Arabidopsis thaliana: one gene and its partners. The protein of the gene in region 3 interacts with the protein of the main gene of each other region in a pairwise test. Each region holds a gene or a part of one and is shown on either strand. Other genes may lie near its edges.

Evidence for each region. The genes of interacting proteins can lie anywhere in the genome.
Region 1: the proteins of HD1 (region 3) and WRKY62 interact in binary tests that used the Arabidopsis thaliana proteins (3 or more experiments, as listed by UniProt).
Region 2: the proteins of HD1 (region 3) and AT1G75060 interact in a two-hybrid assay, tested with the Arabidopsis thaliana proteins (one study listed by BioGRID).

Annotation. Positions count from the first base shown.
Region 1 is NC_003076.8:350,425-355,517, reverse strand, and holds WRKY62 (WRKY DNA-binding protein 62), read left to right. Parts: upstream 1-3,422; 5' UTR 3,423-3,504; coding exon 3,505-3,770; intron 3,771-3,856; coding exon 3,857-4,382; 3' UTR 4,383-4,593; downstream 4,594-5,093. UniProt on the Arabidopsis thaliana protein: Transcription factor. Interacts specifically with the W box (5'-(T)TGAC[CT]-3'), a frequently occurring elicitor-responsive cis-acting element.
Region 2 is NC_003070.9:28,180,775-28,187,228, forward strand, and holds AT1G75060 (histone deacetylase complex subunit), read right to left. Parts: upstream 2,730-6,454; 5' UTR 2,512-2,729; coding exon 2,287-2,511; intron 1,564-2,286; coding exon 1,431-1,563; intron 1,339-1,430; coding exon 1,199-1,338; intron 1,114-1,198; coding exon 1,051-1,113; coding exon of another isoform or gene 1,018-1,050; exon of another isoform or gene 954-1,017; coding exon 885-953; intron 806-884; coding exon 707-805; 3' UTR 501-706; downstream 1-500. Other genes in the region: AT1G75050 (Pathogenesis-related thaumatin superfamily protein), read left to right, coding at 1-288; BZR1 (Brassinosteroid signaling positive regulator (BZR1) family protein), read left to right, coding at 4,935-5,201, 5,546-6,289.
Region 3 is NC_003075.7:17,893,502-17,902,401, forward strand, and holds HD1 (histone deacetylase 1), read right to left. Parts: upstream 6,009-8,900; 5' UTR 5,803-6,008; intron 5,562-5,802; 5' UTR 5,557-5,561; coding exon 5,029-5,556; intron 4,945-5,028; coding exon 4,504-4,944; intron 4,374-4,503; coding exon 4,143-4,373; intron 3,888-4,142; coding exon 3,817-3,887; intron 3,729-3,816; coding exon 3,671-3,728; intron 3,243-3,670; coding exon 3,171-3,242; coding exon of another isoform or gene 3,162-3,170; exon of another isoform or gene 3,097-3,161; coding exon 2,992-3,096; 3' UTR 2,777-2,991; downstream 1-2,776. Other genes in the region: AT4G38120 (ARM repeat superfamily protein), read right to left, coding at 82-169, 268-421, 599-650, 732-811, 905-1,270, 1,389-1,458, 1,564-1,631, 1,710-1,968 and 2 more; AT4G38140 (RING/U-box superfamily protein), read right to left, coding at 6,367-6,804; AT4G38150 (Pentatricopeptide repeat (PPR) superfamily protein), read right to left, coding at 7,710-8,618. UniProt on the Arabidopsis thaliana protein: Responsible for the deacetylation of lysine residues on the N-terminal part of the core histones (H2A, H2B, H3 and H4).

The DNA.
Region 1 (5,093 bases), on a different chromosome or scaffold from region 3:
TCAAAATTTAGTAAAATATATTCAAATATAATTAAATTTATGAAAATTTAACAAATTTAAAAGCTTTTTTTGTTTGGAGACCCTCTATCTACAAACAAATACCCGTTTCTATTTTTTGGGTATTTTTAGGGCATGAAACTTTTTATCCAAACTGACCCAAACCCAAATGGACCCGACCCAAACCAGAACCAAATATTTAGAATTATTCTATTGGGTAGTAAATAATATACCCATTAATCCCAAACCCGAACGGGTTCTACCCGAACTCGAATGAGTTACTCATATGCCAGCCCTATTCTCTGATTTAATGATCTAAAAACTCCCCAAAAAACATATATTTTGCTGACTACTTTTTATTCAAAAAATTTTACATCCTCTTCTGCCAAAATTATTCATAAGACATCCCAAAACCCTTGGAATAATGATTCCATGAATGAAGAATCTTAATTTGAATATACCAAGAGATTTTGAAAGGTTTTAAGTTTTTGATAGGTGTGTATCTGAGAAGGTACATACATCGTGATGGTAATCTACCTATTTATAATTTTAACCTGCAGTATACCGCAGGTAAGCTTATATTTTAGTTAAACTAAAAACTTTTATTGTAAAGATAATTACAAATATATGATATTATTTTATTTGATTTTAAATGTATAGTAAACTGCGAGTTGTATATGTTTTGTCGATATTATTTATATTGTTTAGTGTTTAAAATTATACACTTGTATTTTGATTGTTAATTTTAGAGTTTCACCTTTAGTATACCATCTTGTATATATTAATATCGATCTAAACCTGTCAATTCTAGGATTTTCCAGCTTGTATTAAAAATTGAATCACATCATACACATAAAAAATCTAATATGTTATTAATTATTGTAGTATATAAAATTATGAATTTCAAAAATAAAATATGAAATTGAATATAAATATTCAAATTATGACCCAGTACTCAGTAGAAAGTTTTCTTAAATCTATTTTTGACCCGTTATAATATTCTTTTATGTATTGAAAAGTTTATATTCATTTTTAAAAATTCAAATTATGGTATATGCAAAAAAAATCTAATTATTTGTTTATAACGATGATATTTCGCAAAATTATAATCATATAAAGATGAGAGGTGAACTATAATAATTAATAAAAAAATTAATATGATAATTTAGATATCAAATCTAATTTGTTGATTTTAATTGGTTATTTTTTTAGAAAGTAATAATGTATTTTTTTTTTAATTAAATTAGTATTTTACTTTTTAATTTTTGAAGAGATGAATTAATTTACTTTTTAAATTTTCTTTCTAATGGCATACCTATGTAATTACTTACAAAAAATAAGGTTACATTTAAAATGTACTTCCCAAATAATATAGTAGGATATAAGTATTTCATGATAGTTAAAAAATGATTAGAATCTTGGGTATATAGATAAGAAGATTTATACATGAAAAAAATATAATTGATTTTTGAATCAAAAGTGAATCTAAGTATACAAATATAATTACATAAAATGAATATAATTTTATTAATTACATAATAACATATAAGAAAATAACAAAATTTAGCAATAAAAATAGTTAAACATAATTGTTTTTAAACAATTTTCAAAACAACAACCCACGCGTATCGTTGGTACTCACCTAGTATATATAAACTTGCAAAATTACCTACAATAGTTTTTATCGTGCTTATACATTTTATGCACTAAACTCAATTTTATTATTTGTTTGATTATATTTACATTTTTTTGTGGGTTGACCGTCGACTGTTGACTGGTGATTACCTATATAAACGAAGCGTAGGTATTATTACTTCACCATCTAAATACTACTTTGCACGTTGACAAAAAAAAATGTTAATTGTTAAGAAAAGTGCTTTATAGTTTCGTTTAGCGGACGATATTGGGTGAGAAGATTGGATCCAAGCTAGGGTTAAGCAATAAACATTATAACGTGAGAGAGCTTAACGTTAGGGAAAGAAAAAAAAAACTTAACGTTAGGGCACGTTACCTAATAAGGGTAAGAGTAAGGCCGTTGGAGTCTGACACCGTTGATAGTTCACATGCGTGTTAACGTCCGAAACTAGTGGATGAGGCGTATTACTGCCATATAATTAAGATATATTTAAGTACTCAGGTTATATTTCTGAAGAATTATTTGATTAATGCTGCTTTATATATGTAGTTAACCATTTAAGGTCCGTATAGAACACCAACACGTACATATAGCAGCGAGAATTCGAGATTTTTTTTTTAAAATTACATCAAGCATCGTGATTTGAGGGATCATGTTATCCCAGCTATTATCTAAACGTACATAAAAATGGGAGGCTCAAATCCGGATTCGACCAAGTTTAGGGAAGTCCAGTAAACAATAGTATAATTAAAGTTACATATTAGTGATGGAGGAAATTAAAGTCGCAACCTAATAAGGTGAAAGAAACTGAGCCGCCGATATTGAAGCAGAAACAAAGGCTACTTTAATTTATGATTTATGTAGCTTAGTGTAATGGTTATTTTACTAATTTATACTAATAAAGGAAGAAAAGGGTAAGAGAGAAATAAAAAGTTGAAGCTGTTACGTACTAGATCTAGACATTAATTTAGTATAAGAAAAGAAACATAAGTAGACATCTAAACAAGCACATGCGGATTACGCTTATTATATTACAAAACCAGAAATACTTTTGAAGCAGTTGATATCCATCGTTGGATTGATGAGATTAGATTTGATTAGTGCATTATCTGTCATCCATAATTCAACTATCCATGACGTCACGCCATCAAGGTAAGATGAGGTCACCGAACCCTACGTCACTCTTGATGAAGCTCTCTCTCGCCTTTCAAAGTGGCTGCCTCCTCCTTTTTCTACGGCCGTTTATTCGCCGTTCCATCTTCTCAGGTGCCGTGTCACATGACTTATATACGTTCACCGCCACCGTTGTGAGAGTTTACTCAATTTTACAACAAAACGGACTTTTTATTCAGTTGATTTTACGCGACGACATCAAATAGATATATGGAATCTTGTTTGATGGTTTTTTCCTAATTCTAGGAGTACTTATTACTGATTATTTGGAGATGCGAACCTAATTAAGTAGTAGAGACTAGAGATCTAAGAAGTCATGGTTGTTAGATAAGAGTTTACACATAATTCATTAACTAACTTTATAATTAGAAGAGTTGTTGGGTAAGTCAACTAGTAATACTCCTACTTGTTTGTTTGTTTTTTGTCTTTATATTCTCGAGGGGCCACTTATTAATCCGCACATTGCTAATACGAATTACGTAATAGTACATCCGATAGAGAGGTTAACGAAGGAGTGTATAGTAATTGACTAAACTCTCTCACACGTACGAAACTTCGTAACAAGACCATTATCTCGTCTTCTCGACCTATTCGTATATATATCTAAAGAGAGAGAGACACAATGGATCACATCTCTAAACTTAATAAACCCACAGAGCAATAATTATAAGTATTTACTCAAAAAAAAACAAAAAAAGATGAACTCTTGCCAACAAAAGGCTATGGAGAAGTTGCTTCACGGGCATGGGTGCGCCAACCAGCTGCTCATCATGGACCAGACCGAGTCAGACTCGTCCATGGAAAGGGAGGATTTGGCCAAGTCCGTCCTCCATTGTTTCTCAGATGCGCTCTCCATCTTGATCGATACTAATGACCACCAAGACGATCAATCCAATAACTCATCTCCTCAGGACTCTTCTCCTGTGCTTGAGAGCTCCAGGAAACCACTTCACAAGAGGGGAAGGTATGAATATAAACATCATATTCATAAATTGAAAATGTTCTATCTTTGAGTGATTGCTCACCATCATGAATCTCATGTGGTTGCAGAAAGACATCTATGGCAGAGAGCTCAGACTACCATAGACACGAATCTTCAACCCCGATCTACCACGACGGCTTCCTCTGGAGGAAATACGGACAAAAGCAGATCAAAGAATCTGAGTACCAAAGGAGTTACTACAAGTGTGCCTACACCAAGGACCAGAACTGTGAAGCAAAGAAGCAGGTTCAAAAGATCCAACACAATCCTCCATTGTACTCAACCACTTACTTCGGCCAGCACATATGCCAGCTTCATCAAGCTTATGCAACTTTCCCCATTGACACATCTGACTTCGAAGAGCACGAGGGATCCCACATGATCCGATTCGGTCACCCCAACATCAGCTTCTCCTCCTCCACCTCTAACCTCCGCCAACATCAGAATCATCAGGATCGCATCAAAGATGAATACATGAAACCGGTGATAGCAGAAGATTGGTCTCCATCCCAGTGGATGTCGTCCGAGGTTGCCCTCGCCGTGGAGGCTTTCGAGTTTAATCCTTTCTGGACATCTCACGACTTATCATCATGACACTATATCCCTCAGCTCTATCATCATACATATATAGCTTCTTTAATCCTAAAAACCTCTATATATATATATAGTCTTATACATCTCCATGTAATATGTTTCAATCTCTACTTGGTGATTTTGTTTGAGTACTCATCATATTAACCTACAATAATACATGAAGGTTGTACTGTTGTTGCCAGCTTTTCCAATTTTATACATACGGGAATCTTTCATAAACAAACCTTTGAGTAAAGTTTTCTAGTACCTTTCAACCATCAGCGGACATTTATGTGATAATATATGTATACTACTCTTTTATAAGAAAAGAGGGTGACGTTGAAGCAGATCTAGACTTGGTGGATTTATTCTACATTGAACAGTACCTAGCTAGTACCCAATGTTTGAATCCAGAGAAACAATCATTCTTTGCAAGTGGCTTATGGTACGCATTTAAGCATGAGACAATGCTCGTGTCTCTATGAGCTTCATCGAGCGACCGAGCACACATATCAAACTAGGACCAAAAAAAAAAACGAAAATTTGTTTGAGCTAGGGTTTTCACTCGTTGGACCACTGTCTACAGCCGCCGGAGTTTCGCCACAGTAACATAACTACAAATTTAAACAAGATTTTTTAATTTAAAAAACTTGCTAAAGTTTGTGTTTGGCACAAATTTTTGAAGCTGTTTGTTTCATCGGCACGCAGGATAACATGTTTTTCGTCACTTCT
Region 2 (6,454 bases), on a different chromosome or scaffold from region 3:
GGCTGCGTCGCCGACGTCAACGCGGTTTGCCCTAACGAGCTTCGGCTCATGGATCCACATACAGGAATCATCGCGGCGTGTAAAAGCGCTTGTGCGGCGTTTAATTCTGAGGAGTTCTGTTGTACCGGTGCTCACGCGACGCCGCAAACTTGTTCTCCGACGCATTACTCGGCGATGTTTAAAAGCGCTTGCCCTGGTGCTTACAGTTACGCCTACGACGACGCCACGAGCACCTTCACTTGTACCGGCTCTAACTACTTGATCTCTTTCTGCCCCACCCGGAACTAAAAAACAGGAGCTCCGGTTCAGATTTCACGTTTCTTTTGCTTAATAGCACTTTGGTTCATATTTTTCCATTTTAAAGATTTTTCTAGTACTCAGTTGTTACATTCATTTCATTGGCATTGTTGTTTTGATTTGTATCTTGTTTTATATTTTACAAAGTATTGATTTTGCATTACCTATTTTATTTGAGATCTGGAAAAACAAAGATGGAGGCTTCATTAGAGATTTTCTTTGTTTCATATCATTTTGTTCTTGATGGACCTAATTACATGAGAGAGCAATAACAACTACTAGTGTTTACCAAAAGAGAGAGAGCTAAACTATTTACCCAAACTTTTTAAGCCGCGGAATGATTAAAACATGTGACCCGCGCAGATATTTGTTAGTCTATTAAAGGAGATTTAGCTGATGCAGTTAAGGATCAGTGTTTCTGGCTTCTTTGGTCTTCCACTTGGCAAGCCTTCTTCATTCCTGTTGCAGCCTGAACGAATCCCACAATAACCTGAAGCTCATCCATTTGCTGTAAACAAGAACATGTCTCAGACTAATCCAAAATCAGAAGACAACATTCACAAACATATCATAGCTTTGATGTCTACCTGAGACATGAAGTGTCTCTGAATAATGTCAATTAGTTGCTCCTTTGTGGGATTCGGAAGAGCATCCACCTATACGAAAAAGAGATCAATGAATCACCTGTTGTAAAAAACAAAACACTCTCTTCCACAATAATCAGTAACATAAGATTGTTTCTTTTGAACTCACGAGGTTAAAATGTCGCCAATATCTCAGTAATGCAGCCATATCCAACTTGGTAAGATCAACCTTCTGCGTTAAAACAATATTCCCAAATCAGTAACACATAGCATTAACATGAAAACCCCCACCAAGTAGAAGAAATTTGAGGCCTTACCATGTTCAGACGAGGAGTAATACTCGAGATTTTTGAGTGTGAGTCACAAGAAACTTCCCTGTACAAAGCCTTTTGAGATAACCGCGATGATCTGTGTCCTCTCTTCTTCGACTTATGAGGCTTCAAAGTGTCCTCAGTTGCTGCAAAAGACAATCAAAGAACGGTCTTTATGAAACATTTCAAAAAGACTAAAATTTGGTACTTTATTGCAGAGACAAGGAACCAAACTTACTCATATCGGAGGGATGATTCCACTGTGTAGAATGGTCGACTTCAAGATCATTGTCTTCTTCGTTCCCTGTAGGATGTTCAAGAACACTAAGCGCATTCCTCTGCAACTTCACTTCAATTCCATTAGTCAAAACCTGAAAATTTAAAGCAAAAAGGACAAAGATTAAAAATTGAACTCCACAAACAAAGTAAAGTTTGGGACTTTTTGAGAAATGGGAATGGTTGGAGACAAGAAGTGGTGGAATTTGATATCGATATTAGTAAAAAAAAAAATGATGCTTTGGGTTATGAGGAAATCGTATAAGATACTGATTTTTATTGTATAGCTAGAGAAATGATCAAAAAAGGATCAAAGAAAGTAAAATTGATAATATAAAAACTAGGAAGCCTAATGAAACGGAGAACATCTATAAAAAGTTTAACATTTTTCAGTGGATGAAAATGACCAATCTGAAAAAGAAAGAACAAAAACCCTAAATATTATTAATTAAAGTATATCAAAATTAGTGACTACAAGTAAAACAAATCTAAAAGCCAGCTTGAACCCACAAAGATAAGGATTCTCAAGGAATTGATTGAGAAAAAGTAACACAAAAGTTAAAAATAAATATAAAAAGTGCAGATCGTTATGATGCAATTTAACAAAATAAAGTTATGATATTTTAAGAACAATCAATCTAATCGGTAACATAGAACAACCATTGATTTTATTGCATTATTGAGCTAATGATTCTGGATCTTTTGTTAATCAGTTTTTAAAAATCTACTCTACTGGGGGAATAAAAACACAGACAGACACAAAGATGCAAAAAAGACAAAACGAGGTAAAGAAGAAAGCGAAGTTGATCTTTGCTCACCAGCCAATGCCAACCACCGAGTCCGACGGCTTTCTTAACGACGCCTTGAAGACCGACGAGAACAGATTTGGTACGGTTGTTTCCAGTAACGACAACTTTGGTATGACGTGGCAACACTGACAATTCTTCTTCGCTACTGCAATCGCCGAAGCAACTCTGTAGCTGAGAGAATCCTCCTCCTCCTCCATTGAGGATGCTTGACTTGTTCACCGGAGCTTCCAGCATTTTGTGTTTTCTCTCTCTCTCGTTTTTTCCCTCTCTATTATCAGAAAGTACCACAAGCTTTTTTACGATCTCGGAAATGGAAGTTGGTGCATTTTGTGAAGGATTGAGAAATGGAGTAAGAGAGAAATCGAGCTGAGAAATTAGGGTTTGTTTTTGGTCTGATGAAGAAAGACAGAGTAAGAGTGAGAGAAGAAAGAGGAAAAAGCAGAGTGTATTATGATGAGTAAGAGAGAGAAAGATAGAGATACAGAGGAGGGAAGGGAAGGGACGATAGGCGATAGCGACCGCCTTCCTATCGTGACCAATAAGGTATCAACACGTGTGTTTTGTACTTGTATCATTTGCACTGTGGAAATTGAGCGGTTTTTTCATGGATGGGTACCAAAACCTTTTTTTGTTTTTTACCGAGAGCTTTTTTACTTTTTACTCTCTAATAAAGATGAATTCATTTGTTGGAAAACTTGTATTACTTTTTACTCTTTATTCACTGTATTACTTGTCTTGTCTTGGTTGTGAAGATTTAGATTTTGTAAAAACGAAATTGAAACAAAAAAGAAAGGAGTGGATACGTTTGGTTAATTTGTATGAAACATTTTGGGTACTAATTTGTATTGGAATCTGAGATTGATGCTTTTAGAGGGTTTTAAAATGATCAAAAAAGGAAAACGAGGGCCACACTTCGTAAATTTTGTGTAATGTCTACACGCGATCGACGTGAATATGAATGGTTGACTGGGTTTTTTCAAAATAAAAAAAAAGTCAGGAGTTATGGGGCCCATGCATGCGTAAGTTACGATTATACCCCTATTGTTTATTTGTTTTCGTTCCTCTCCAATGTAATTTGAATTTGAAATCACGCCTCTATTAAATATGTCATCGTATAATGTCCATATTGAACATTTAACTAAACTAAAACAATGTTCATGGAGTGATTCTTAAGCCAACATTTTTTCTTGTTCAAGACATAGCATTTTGTAAGTTTGATGGTTTAAAGTAATGTACTTATTGTCCAAAACGAGTTAGCTAGGTAACATGGAGTTAATCGGAAAAACAGAACATATTTCCAAAAAAAACATACTTAACACATAATCTACTTATTATCACAAGTAGGTTACTAGTGCCAAACCAAAGAAGAAAACCCCTAAATTCCTTTTAATGCTAGAAACGAAAGCTGGTATTAAGATTTAACTGATGATTTAAAACGTATCACCAATAATTAACACATAATCGCTCGATTAGCAACAAAGTCGTTGTAGTATAGTGGTAAGTATTCCCGCCTGTCACGCGGGTGACCCGGGTTCGATCCCCGGCAACGGCGATTACTTTAGTTTTGCCTAATTCATCGAACCCTCTGATTCATTCCAAATGTTTCCCAACTCGCGTTGATGGTTCGGGTTCCTCTGCTTTTAAGACATTAGTTACATGCTCCTGCACTTTCTACAAAATAAACGTCATAATCCAAAAATATTACATGATCATACATCATATATGCCGCCGAACCTTGTTATGGGACAAACTCGTAAACCCCTTTTTCCTTTTATGTTCAATGAACTATACAAGTTTTGGTTATGAATACATAAATAATGATGGACCCAGCAATTAATCCAAAATTTGGATATTAGATACTAAAGCTTAAAATCAACATGTAACCAAACTAAATACTTTATAGAACATAGTAAATGGTATTCACCAATCTTTATATCATTTGTAAGGTACGAAGAAGGTAAAAAAAAGAGAGAGCCAGTGTACATACAACTAATCAGGACAAAAGTAGTCAAAATTGTTTCTAAAGTGAGATTTGTATGCAAGAAAAAAGTGATAATTTTTAATTGAATATATCATTATGATGTTAATCACACGGCTTCACTGTATAAAATAAAATTTTAAAAACCAATCAAATGGTGTGTTTTTCGGTCACACAAGTAAGGGACCCACACTGAAGAAACGGTCCCACTGTGTCTCCTCCTTTCTTTTCTCTGTATTATTTGGTCATTACTCATTTTACATACTCACAGAAAAAAAAAAAGATTAGAACATAAACACACGTTACTAAGCGTAGTTATCCTCTGCACCTTAACATACACCTCTTATATTCACCTCACGTAATCTCACCCTTCCAAAACCATGTATTTACACGTGGACGATCGATACACAAGAACAATGATTCTTAATATGAACTCAATGTACTTGAACACACACACGACCCAATTTTTACATTAGATGAAAAAAATATTATTATTTGTTGGAGAAGAAAGAGAGATTCTTCTTCTTCGATTCCAGCGAAGGAAAAGCGTATTCCTCGTGAGCACTAACTTCTCACTCCTCTCTTCTTCTTCTTCATCAGTCTACGTTCACACAATCTTTCACCCACCTATTCAAAGCTCTCTCCGGAAGTTTCGAGGGGTTGGTTGTTGGTTTTCCCGATGACTTCGGATGGAGCTACGTCGACATCAGCAGCTGCAGCTGCGGCGGCGGCAGCAGCGGCGAGGAGGAAGCCGTCGTGGAGAGAAAGGGAGAATAATCGGAGGAGAGAAAGACGGAGAAGAGCTGTAGCTGCGAAGATATACACTGGGCTTAGAGCTCAAGGTGATTATAATTTGCCTAAACATTGTGATAATAATGAAGTCCTTAAAGCTCTTTGTGTTGAAGCTGGTTGGGTTGTTGAAGAAGATGGTACTACTTATCGCAAGGTGAAGACTTTCTCCATTTTTTCCAGATCTGAGCTTGTTTTATTGATGTTTTTGATGTTTGAATCTGAATTCGTTGATTTCAATTGTGGTTAAATGGGTTTGAATCTGAGAATTTGAGGGTTTTCTCAAAGTGAATTTGAATCATCAGAAACTATGGATGGATCTGATTTCTCAAAGTGAATTTATGGGTTTTCTTTCTAATTTTAGAGTTATTATTGGTATGCTAAAGTCTTAATCTTTTATGTATGATACTTGGTCCAAAGTCATTGCATTGTGTTTCTTTTGCTTACCTGTGATTGATTGATGTTTGATTGGTTATTGTTTTGCTTTTGTTGGAGTATCAGGGATGCAAGCCTTTACCTGGTGAGATAGCTGGGACTTCATCTCGAGTAACTCCATATTCATCACAGAACCAGAGCCCTCTTTCATCAGCCTTTCAAAGTCCCATCCCATCTTACCAAGTTAGCCCGTCTTCTTCATCATTCCCGAGTCCTTCTCGCGGTGAACCAAATAACAACATGTCCTCTACATTCTTCCCTTTCCTCAGAAATGGTGGCATTCCTTCTTCTCTTCCTTCCCTCAGAATCTCAAACAGTTGTCCAGTTACCCCACCGGTCTCATCGCCGACTTCTAAGAACCCGAAACCGTTGCCTAACTGGGAATCTATCGCTAAGCAATCCATGGCCATTGCTAAACAATCAATGGCGTCTTTTAATTATCCTTTCTATGCGGTTTCTGCACCTGCTAGTCCGACACATCGCCACCAGTTTCATACCCCGGCTACTATACCTGAATGTGATGAGTCTGACTCTTCCACTGTTGATTCTGGTCATTGGATAAGCTTTCAGAAGTTTGCACAACAACAGCCATTCTCTGCCTCTATGGTGCCAACCTCTCCTACCTTCAATCTTGTGAAACCTGCGCCTCAGCAGATGTCTCCAAATACTGCTGCCTTCCAAGAGATTGGTCAAAGCTCTGAGTTTAAATTTGAGAATAGCCAAGTTAAACCCTGGGAAGGAGAGAGGATACATGATGTGGGTATGGAGGATCTTGAGCTTACACTTGGAAATGGGAAGGCTCGTGGTTGACATAAACAACTAGGCAAACCCAAATGGCATGTCATTGGAATATGAGAAACTAATCCTCTTGAGTATTTTCTTCTTCGTCCAGGTATTTGGATCTTTATGGAATCTCATATGTTCTTCACTTATTATCCAAATATGCTGCCCAAAGCCTTCTCCATGGAAGCATTG
Region 3 (8,900 bases):
ATACAATACTTTTACAATAAAACGAATATCATTTTAATCATGAGGAGCTAATAAAATAAAACACAGAAGAAATGTACGTACGGTGTGCTTGATATTAGAAGCAAGAGGATCTTGAACAGCTGAATCAACAATCTACCATGATTATCACTGTGAATCAAATGTAGAATGCCTACACCCATACGAAAGGCATAAAAATCTTGGTTAACAAGGAATAACTAATAGCCAGACAAGAAGAAAAAGGTTAAGACAATTAATGTCGTTGAAAACCTGTGTGGAGTTGCATTAATATTAGACCAAGGGAATTGGAGAGGGGCATAAATGATCCATATTTAGTAGATTCCTTGTACTCTGCCACTTGAAGGAAAATAGATGAAGGCCCATCCATCATGGTGGCAAGAGCTGACGCAGATGCAATCCTTACCTAGACATTGCAAGGTAAACAAAAAAGTATTGTCAGGATTCAGCAGTCATGAAGTTGAGCCACAAAAACATCTCTAGACATACTTGCTTAACCATAAAAGTTATTGGGAAGGTGAAAAATGAAGAACAGCATCGAAATATGTGCCTCAATTACTTGAAAAGGGACAAGAATAACCACCTTCAAATGAGGATCAAAAAGCAAGCAGGTCATTAGAGTAGCTTCAAACTTCCTGTTAATGATCTCGGAAAGTTAAGGAGACAAGAAAATACTACGGTATGGTGACAAAAGATGTTGTAGGTTAATTTTCCACCTTGGCTTGAGTACATCACTTGTTGGAAAGAGAGTCACCCACTGAGTGGTAAATGACTTTGAATCAGCCTGGCAAAGATCCTTAACAGGAAAAAAAGAAAATGAATAAGTAATTGTCACTGAAAAGTTAAGTAGAAGATGAGAACCAACTAAGAATAATACATTGTTACTCACCTGTATGCAAACAATTGCAGCTATTCTAACCTTGGAGCTTTGGGCAAAATAAGAATCCGGTACGGAGCCGTCACTGTCACTAAAATCGGAATCTGATGATATAACATCAGAACTACCAGAATCATGAGCAGATAGGCGCCGCCAGCTTGAAGACACTGGCTGCCTAGTGTTCAAATCATCCCTCTTGCGCAAGTGGGGTGGCCTATAAGGAGTATTCTTGGCATTCTTACTTACTCCAGAAATCAATGGAGAAAGCTTGACATTCAAATGCTTATCGTTGTGAACAACATCAGAAACTGATAACTGAGGTGGGCCAGTAAGTCCAAAACAGAAAAACATTCTCAATGACGCTATGAAACTTAAGACCTGCAACATTTAAAAAATCTGCTTAAACAAAGGAAAAAAGTCTGATATGGAGGTTAAACCAGAAAATCACTTATCCAAGGCTAAGAGGAGGAGCAAAGGGTATCAAGAACCCACTTACGTGATCAGAAACAGGACATTTGATATTTGTAAGGACCTCGTGCACACAGCCTAGAAGGCATGAATAAAAGCTGTAGAAAATTAAGAAATGAATATTACCTAAGAGGGCAACAAGTCTAATAGAACCCAGAAAAAAAGGAGTAAATTGTAGTCTCCACAAAACCAAAGGCATATACCTCCACATGAATCGGTCTTCGACAAGCTGGCCCTTAGATGCTAATACGTCCATTACTTTCCTTAGAACCTATATGAGAATTCACCAAGTTGAGAAACAAAGCATATGAGAGAAATGAGAGGATCGATCAGTGAAGGGGAAGATTACCTCTAGCGTGCATTGGGAGACGTCAGTAGGAAACAAAGACTCAGATAGAGAAAATGCTCTACCAAACATGTCAAAGGCAAGAGCCATGGAATCCCATAAGCGATTCTGTTGAGGCAGTTTCTTTTCCACAAGTAAAGTAGGAGAAGGGTCTTGATTTGAGAAACCATAGGATAAAACTAAATCCTGGTGTAATAAAGGAACTACGCGCACAAGAAACTTGACTAGATGAATGTTCTCCGGATGCATAGGGGCCAAACGTCTGGGAAAAGGAAGAGGAGATTACGAATAAGGTTTAAACAATGTCAGCAAGATTGTGAGAAGATATATAATAACCTTAAAGTCTCGAAGCATTGGATCACAGGTTCGATTCTGGAGAAATAGGCAGCGGAATAAGGTGAAGAAGGCATGGGTTGGCGAAGAAGAAACTCCAAGACAGAAGCAAAAGAGTGAAGAAGGAGCGGCCATGACGAAGAATTTAGTTGGAAAAGTAGACGAGCACAAACATCGTGAATCTGGATTAATAAAAAGGAGGAGAGATCCCATTAATAACAAGGAAATGATGGGAGGAGAGAAGGAGAAGACGCACCAGTTGACAAGTATGACGAGAGACAGGGATCCAGTCAGGACCATCAGCTTTGGAAACCAAATCGAGCAGGAACAAGCAATCGGAAGTGAGCTCGTGCAGTGGGAGGTGAGAGACGGCAGAGATAAGGGAATGGGATTGAGAGAAGAGTAGATCCTCGAGCAACAGAGGAACCGGCGGCGGTGGAGTGGTTGAGATTTCGTCCCTGAGAGAGAGAAACGCCGTCCGCCACCTTCCCACGCTTGACGAAGCTGCCGCCGTGAACATGTTTCAGTCTCCCGGGAAAAAACTAAGCAATCAAAAACGAGAACGACGAGAGACAGACAGAGAGACGCTTAATAGTCTTAAAGGGATTTACATTTTTTTAATTTAGAGTTAGAAATCAATTGTGTTACAGGAAAACATCTTCTCCACCCACTTCACTAGTTGATGATGTTCATTGCTGCGTTTAGCACATCAATTCTTTATTTTTTTGGGGTGGGCAGACGCAGATCTCTTCGGCCCAATCAATAAATATATAGCAAAAGGAATAGCTCGTCTTGTCATATCATATCATCATTCAGACATGCAACGAATAAATACATATCCGTGCTCAATCCTCTAAAACAGAGGAGTGCTTACAACAACAACAACTCCAGAAACTTAACTAGCAACATTTGATAGACAGAAAAAGTAGCAAGAAATTAGAAGCTCCGAGTCTTATGTTTTAGGAGGAAACGCCTGCTCCGCCCCACCCTTGTTTGTTCCTTCCTCTTCCATTTTCACACTTGCTTCCTCCACTCCCACTGGGTTTACTCCTGTAACCTGCAATCAAAACTAACCACTTTAGAAAACCACCATTCCCACCCTTTTCAGCCCTGTCCACTGCTTCATTTTACCTTAGTGCTTCCACTCTCATCCACCTCCACCTCACAACCTTTTCCACGCTCCATAATTCCTTTCAGTCCATCCTGCACGAACAACATGCCATGATAAATAAATTAATCTCGGAAGAAAAGGAGACGGCTTTAGGAATTGAGAGGCAGAGATGATTCAGCTCAGCTTGGCTAGACGGTCACACTATCTAATCAGGTCAATTGTTGGAGCTGGGAGCATACTAAATAAATAGCCTAGGCTAAATGATTTAACCGTAGCTAAAGATTCGCTACCCTCATGTGAATGTATCTCCAGCTTAAACTAACTGACTTAATGTCAGAATGAGACTCATTCTGGAATCTTTAGGTTTTGGGTCTCGGGATGAGAAAAAGTGTAATGTTATCAGAGCACATTGTGCTGTTCTGGAAAATGCTGTAAACCTAGATGAACTAATGACTTCAAATGTTTGTACCAGAAAAAGTGTCTGAGAAATCGAAACAATTAAGAGATAATGCTGTAGTACCTTGTCCTTTGTATCTGGTTCAACAGCTTCTCTTTTTACTCTGCTTGGTATAGGTTTACTGCACAATGCGATCCCACATTAAGTAAACATTACACCGCTGACTCGAACCAAAAATAAAAAGGGGAGGAAACATATATATTTCATACCGGTCATCATCAACATCCATGTCTGAATCCGGATCCCATCTTTTATCCCCATCTTCTTGGTCTTCATCAACCTATAATTTACATAGAAGGCATATTTTACAAAACTAAGATTGGTAACAACCAGAGTCATCAATCAAGGAATACTTATACATATCTAACTGGACGAACATTATTTACCAGCCCAGCTGTTTAAATTAGAAAATTCTTATTGTAACTGCAGTTACACTTAGATAAGCTCACCAAAACCCATGAGGAAATGCAAGAAAGAATGGGCAACAGAAATAAAGGAGCCAACACACTTCAAATGATTTGCTCAAGTGGCATACCTCGGGAGTCTCTGTATCAGGTGGTCTTTCCTGAAATGGTACACTTGGAGCATGCTGAAGCTTAGAGAGATTGTGGAGAAGGTCATTGCGAATCTCTTCAAGCATCTGACGAGAATTCTTATTTTCCATGTTACTTGGAGCAACGTGAAGTGTATAGTCTGGACCAAAGTATTCATAATATTCATGCTCCGGCATCTTGTCTTCAACTTCAACTCCAAGTGCAACTCCAGTCTGTCATATAAACAGTTTGTTGTAATAAATTCAAAGAAAGAGAGGCGTCACAGAGGGCTAACCTTGGTACAGAGACCAAGGAAATTTCAATGCAAAGCTAGAGCAGCATAAAATGAACAGAAGAAAGTACCTCGTAGCACCAGCAACGGGCAACATTGCGGATAGTGTAACCACCACCACCCAAGAGCAGTAGGGGAACATTGAACGATCTCATAAATTTGACGCACTCAGCATGACCTTTGATTGAAAGATTAAAGCACCCCAACCTATCACCAGACAATGAATCAGCACCACATTGCAATACCACAGCCCCTGGTCGGAAAATTTCCATAACTTTCCCCATGATGGGCTTGAATAACAGATGATAGCTCTCATCATCGATTCCATCATCCAGTGGTACATTGAGAGAATAGTACTTTCCGCTACCATAACCTATATCCTGAATGTGACCTGTACCGGGAAAGTAATCACCAAATTTATGAAACGAGACAGTCATAACCCTGTCAGTAGCATAAAATGCCTCCTCCACTCCATCCCCGTGGTGGATATCAATATCGACATAAAGAACACGCTGCAAACGAGAGAGGAAGAGTTAGAGATTCAGAAACGACATAACCATCCCTAGCATATATCAAAACGGTGCAGGTGGACAAACCTCATGCTGCTTAAGGAGCTCTAGGATAGCTAAGACGATATCATTGACGTAACAGAAGCCAGAGGCCTCGCACTTCTTAGCGTGATGGAGACCACCAGCCCAGTTGATGGCAATATCGCAGAGGCCGTGGTTAAGCTTGACAGAGCCACCAACAGATCCTCCAGCATAGGTCTGGCAAAAGGAATAAAGGCCGTCAAAGACGGGACAGTCTTCACCAACATTGAAGCGCTTAAGTTGGCGAATCTGATCTTGCTGGGTTTCAGGGGTAATGCTGCGGAGAAAAGAGACATAGTCGTCGGCGTGGAAGCGGCAGAGATCACGGTCGCGGGCAGGGAAGGGCTTGAGAACCTGCATATGCTGAAGGAGACCGTAGTGAGCGAGGAGGGCATGGGTCATGCGGATGCGATGGGGCTTCATGGGATGACCTTGGCCATAGTAGTAATTGCCGACCTCAGGGTCATAGAAATAACAAACTTTCCTCTTCACACCATCAGGTCCGGACGCCAGCGAATTGCCGCCAGTATCCATTACCTCTGCACGCACGCCGATCCATAAAAATTATATTATTAAAAAATGATAACTAAACCCTAGCCGCGGAGTAGCTGAGCCATGGACGCGTTTGAATGACAACAACAACATTTTTTTAAGTTACGAAAAAATCAAATCTAGTGTGCAGAAGAGACAGGAAGGCGAGTGAAAGATATTAAAAGACGGCGAGGCTAGACAGACGCCGGAAAATGGAATCACGCAGACAAGGAAGAGAGTCTGACTGACCTTTTTCGTAGGATCAACGGTGTGTTGTAATCACAGTCGCAGTCAAATGGTCGGAGGAGAAGCTGCGATGATCTCTCTCTCTCTCTCTGGCTTTCTTCTTCCTTCCTCCTCGCCGAGGGGAAGGGAGCTGCTCTCTGCTTTGCTTTCAGATTTTCTTTCACCTCTGACTGAAACTGTAGCCTACTTACTCTTCTCTTCCAACTTTTTCTACTTTCAGTTTATAATGGAAAGGCCCACTTTTAATCTGTTATGGTTTAAAATGAGGCCCACTTTTAATGTGTTTTAAAAATAAGGCCTATTAAGTTGCCTTTAGCCCGTTTACTTAATGGTCTTACGCAGAGTAACAAATCAATTAGGAAACAGAGCACTAGAGCAGCAGTAGGCACTAGGCAAGGCTGGTAAAACTAAACTCGTGCTGCTTTTGTCTCTGTTTAGTACAGTATATCATAAAACTGAGTAATCCACAAAATCTTGATTGAAAAGGAGATGGAGACAATATGTGCTTGGAAACTAAGACAAAATACATGTTAAATAAAGAATGGGTGTGTTAACAAGGAAGCTAGGCTACAAGTATCCAAGTAGATGGAGAAAGATACAGAAAAAGAAGAAGATAGAGAGATACAAGGTGGAAGAGGAGTGTGCATTATTGACATTTTGTGTAGGAGGAGTTGGAGCCAATACAAATGATCTGCAGAGAGGGCAAGTGAGGTGGCCACGGAGAAGCCAAGGTTCTATGCAATTGATATGGAAGAGATGAGCGCATCTGGGAAGATGGGTCACCGCATCCTCAGCCTCAAACTCCACCAGGCATATGGGGCAGCAAATTTCCTCCTCCTTTTCCTTGTCCCCAAACATCACTCCCACTAGGTTGTAACCGTCATCATCATGCGCATCCGCATCTCCACCATTCTTCTTCAACCTCCCCAAGGGAATGCACACACATGTGTAGAATACTATGGCTGCTGTGCACAAAGGCGACCGCGGAAACAACATTGAAATCATCTTTCTCCAGCTTTCTGCTTCTTTACCTCATTCCTTCCCTCTCTTTTATAGACTAATATCATCGAGTAGGGACGGCGCCGACCCCACCTCCCATCTCTTATTATATTCTTTTGTTGTTTTTCTTTAATCAAGTCAGCGATTCTCCCAACTCCAAGAAAACTCTTGGAGAGGTTATGGTCAACATACGAGATGCACATGCTTCCATCTTAAGCACTACCTGATACTTGCATTTAACAATAGTAAACAATACAAGAATCACATGACGCCAAAAGTAAACAAACAAAAGATGGCATTCATATCCAGTGTATTATTTATATATATATTAAAAGTAAGGAGTCATTCTTCCATCAAGACAGGCCTTGACTTCCGAGTTCACGAATATAATACAGCCGACCAAATCAAGTAAAGATCTCCGAGTGAATCATAAAAACTATTTTAATGTTGACTCCACGCATTTTGTATTCAATATAGCGCCAGCTTCTACAGAACAGACCTCCACGTCCCTGAGATCAGCAGTGCCTTTGGAGGATGATGTAGTTTTATGCCTGGTGTATGTAACCAATGATACTATTGTTCATATTTGTTCATGAAGTCGGCCACATTTGCAATAGACAGTCACATACATCATTGGTAATGACTGATAAGCGTCAAGCATAATTTGACACCCTATACCGCCAACACAACGCTATTCATTGAACTTGCAATCAATATTAGAATGCATGAAAACAGGGAACTACATCTACAACTACACATTTTTAAAGGACATAGGAAAAAAAAAAAAACTCGATACCTGACTCCAAGCAGAAAAAGGAAGACTCATATTGATTTTCACTTTCAAGGTTGTTATTACAAGTCAAGAAAACATCTTACTGAGACGGCATACTTAACAGCACTGCGTAAGTAAATCAGAAGGGTTTCTCGGTTGGTTTCTTCTTGAAGATGGCTTCCCAAGCCAAAGACGGAAATGGAGCCCTTTTATCCATGAACTCCTTGACAGCCTTAACATTAACGGCAAATCCTTTTTGGTTTAAGGTATCAATAGCGGACTGGGCTTGTTCAACCCCCTTTACTCTGCACAAGGCATCAACCAATTCAACGAAAGTGGGGACGTTAGGAGAGTGACCAGACTCAAGCATCTCACTACAGAAAGCAACAGCATCGTCAAGCATGTTGCAATTATACAATCCCTGAACCAACACACCGTAGCTGAAGGCATTAGGGGCAATCCCATTGTTCTGCATTTTCCTGAAAATCCTCTTAGCGTCTTCAATTTTATGAGCCTTGCAAAAGGCCTCAACGACAGCAGTGTAGATAACGACCTCAGGGATTGTACCCTTGTCACGCATCAATCCGAAAAGCTTCATGGCCTCTTGTACAAGCCCATCTTTGCAGAGGCCGTCAAGCATGGCGACGGCGTTAGGGATGAGACCTCCTTCCTTCATCTTCTTGAAGATCTCATCGGAATCCTCAGGCGGCGGTAAGGGCTCCTGCGGGTATTGTTCCGGTTTGGGGGTTTCCCGTGAATCCTGATTGACTCCAAGCTTGAACTGTTCGAGGAAGCCATCGTCAGACAGAGTAGTATCACTCTTTCCAAGGTTGTGGGCTTGTCTAGCGGGTGGTTCTCTGTGAGAGTTGGAAGATCTCTCCCCTCGCAAGGGTCTGTTGGGTAAGGGCTCTGGAGGGTTCTGCTGCTCGTCTACTTGACCATTGTCGCCCGTTGAGAGAAAGCGTGTTGCGGACATCGACGGCGTCGTAACACGAATCTGCTTCGCCATCTGCCTTGCAAAAACGACGGCTTTGGAGGAAGGCACCATCGTTATCTGCCGCTGATTCGAAAAGTTAGGGTTTTGCAGATTTTGACGGAGAGAGAAGAAGGGGAGGGTTTAGTCACGCGAGAAGGATTGAGGGATATAACAGTCATTTACTCTACAGGGGGTATAAGAAAGAAAGAAGGTCCTCACTCCTCCGTGTGGATAAGCTTCTCACTTTCAGTTCAATTGGATAGCCGGAAAGGCTCTCCTCCAAGGTAAATTCCTCTCTACTTCCTTGTTAAAGCTCGAATCATCTCTAAGTTAAGCAAAATTGGTGTGTTGTAG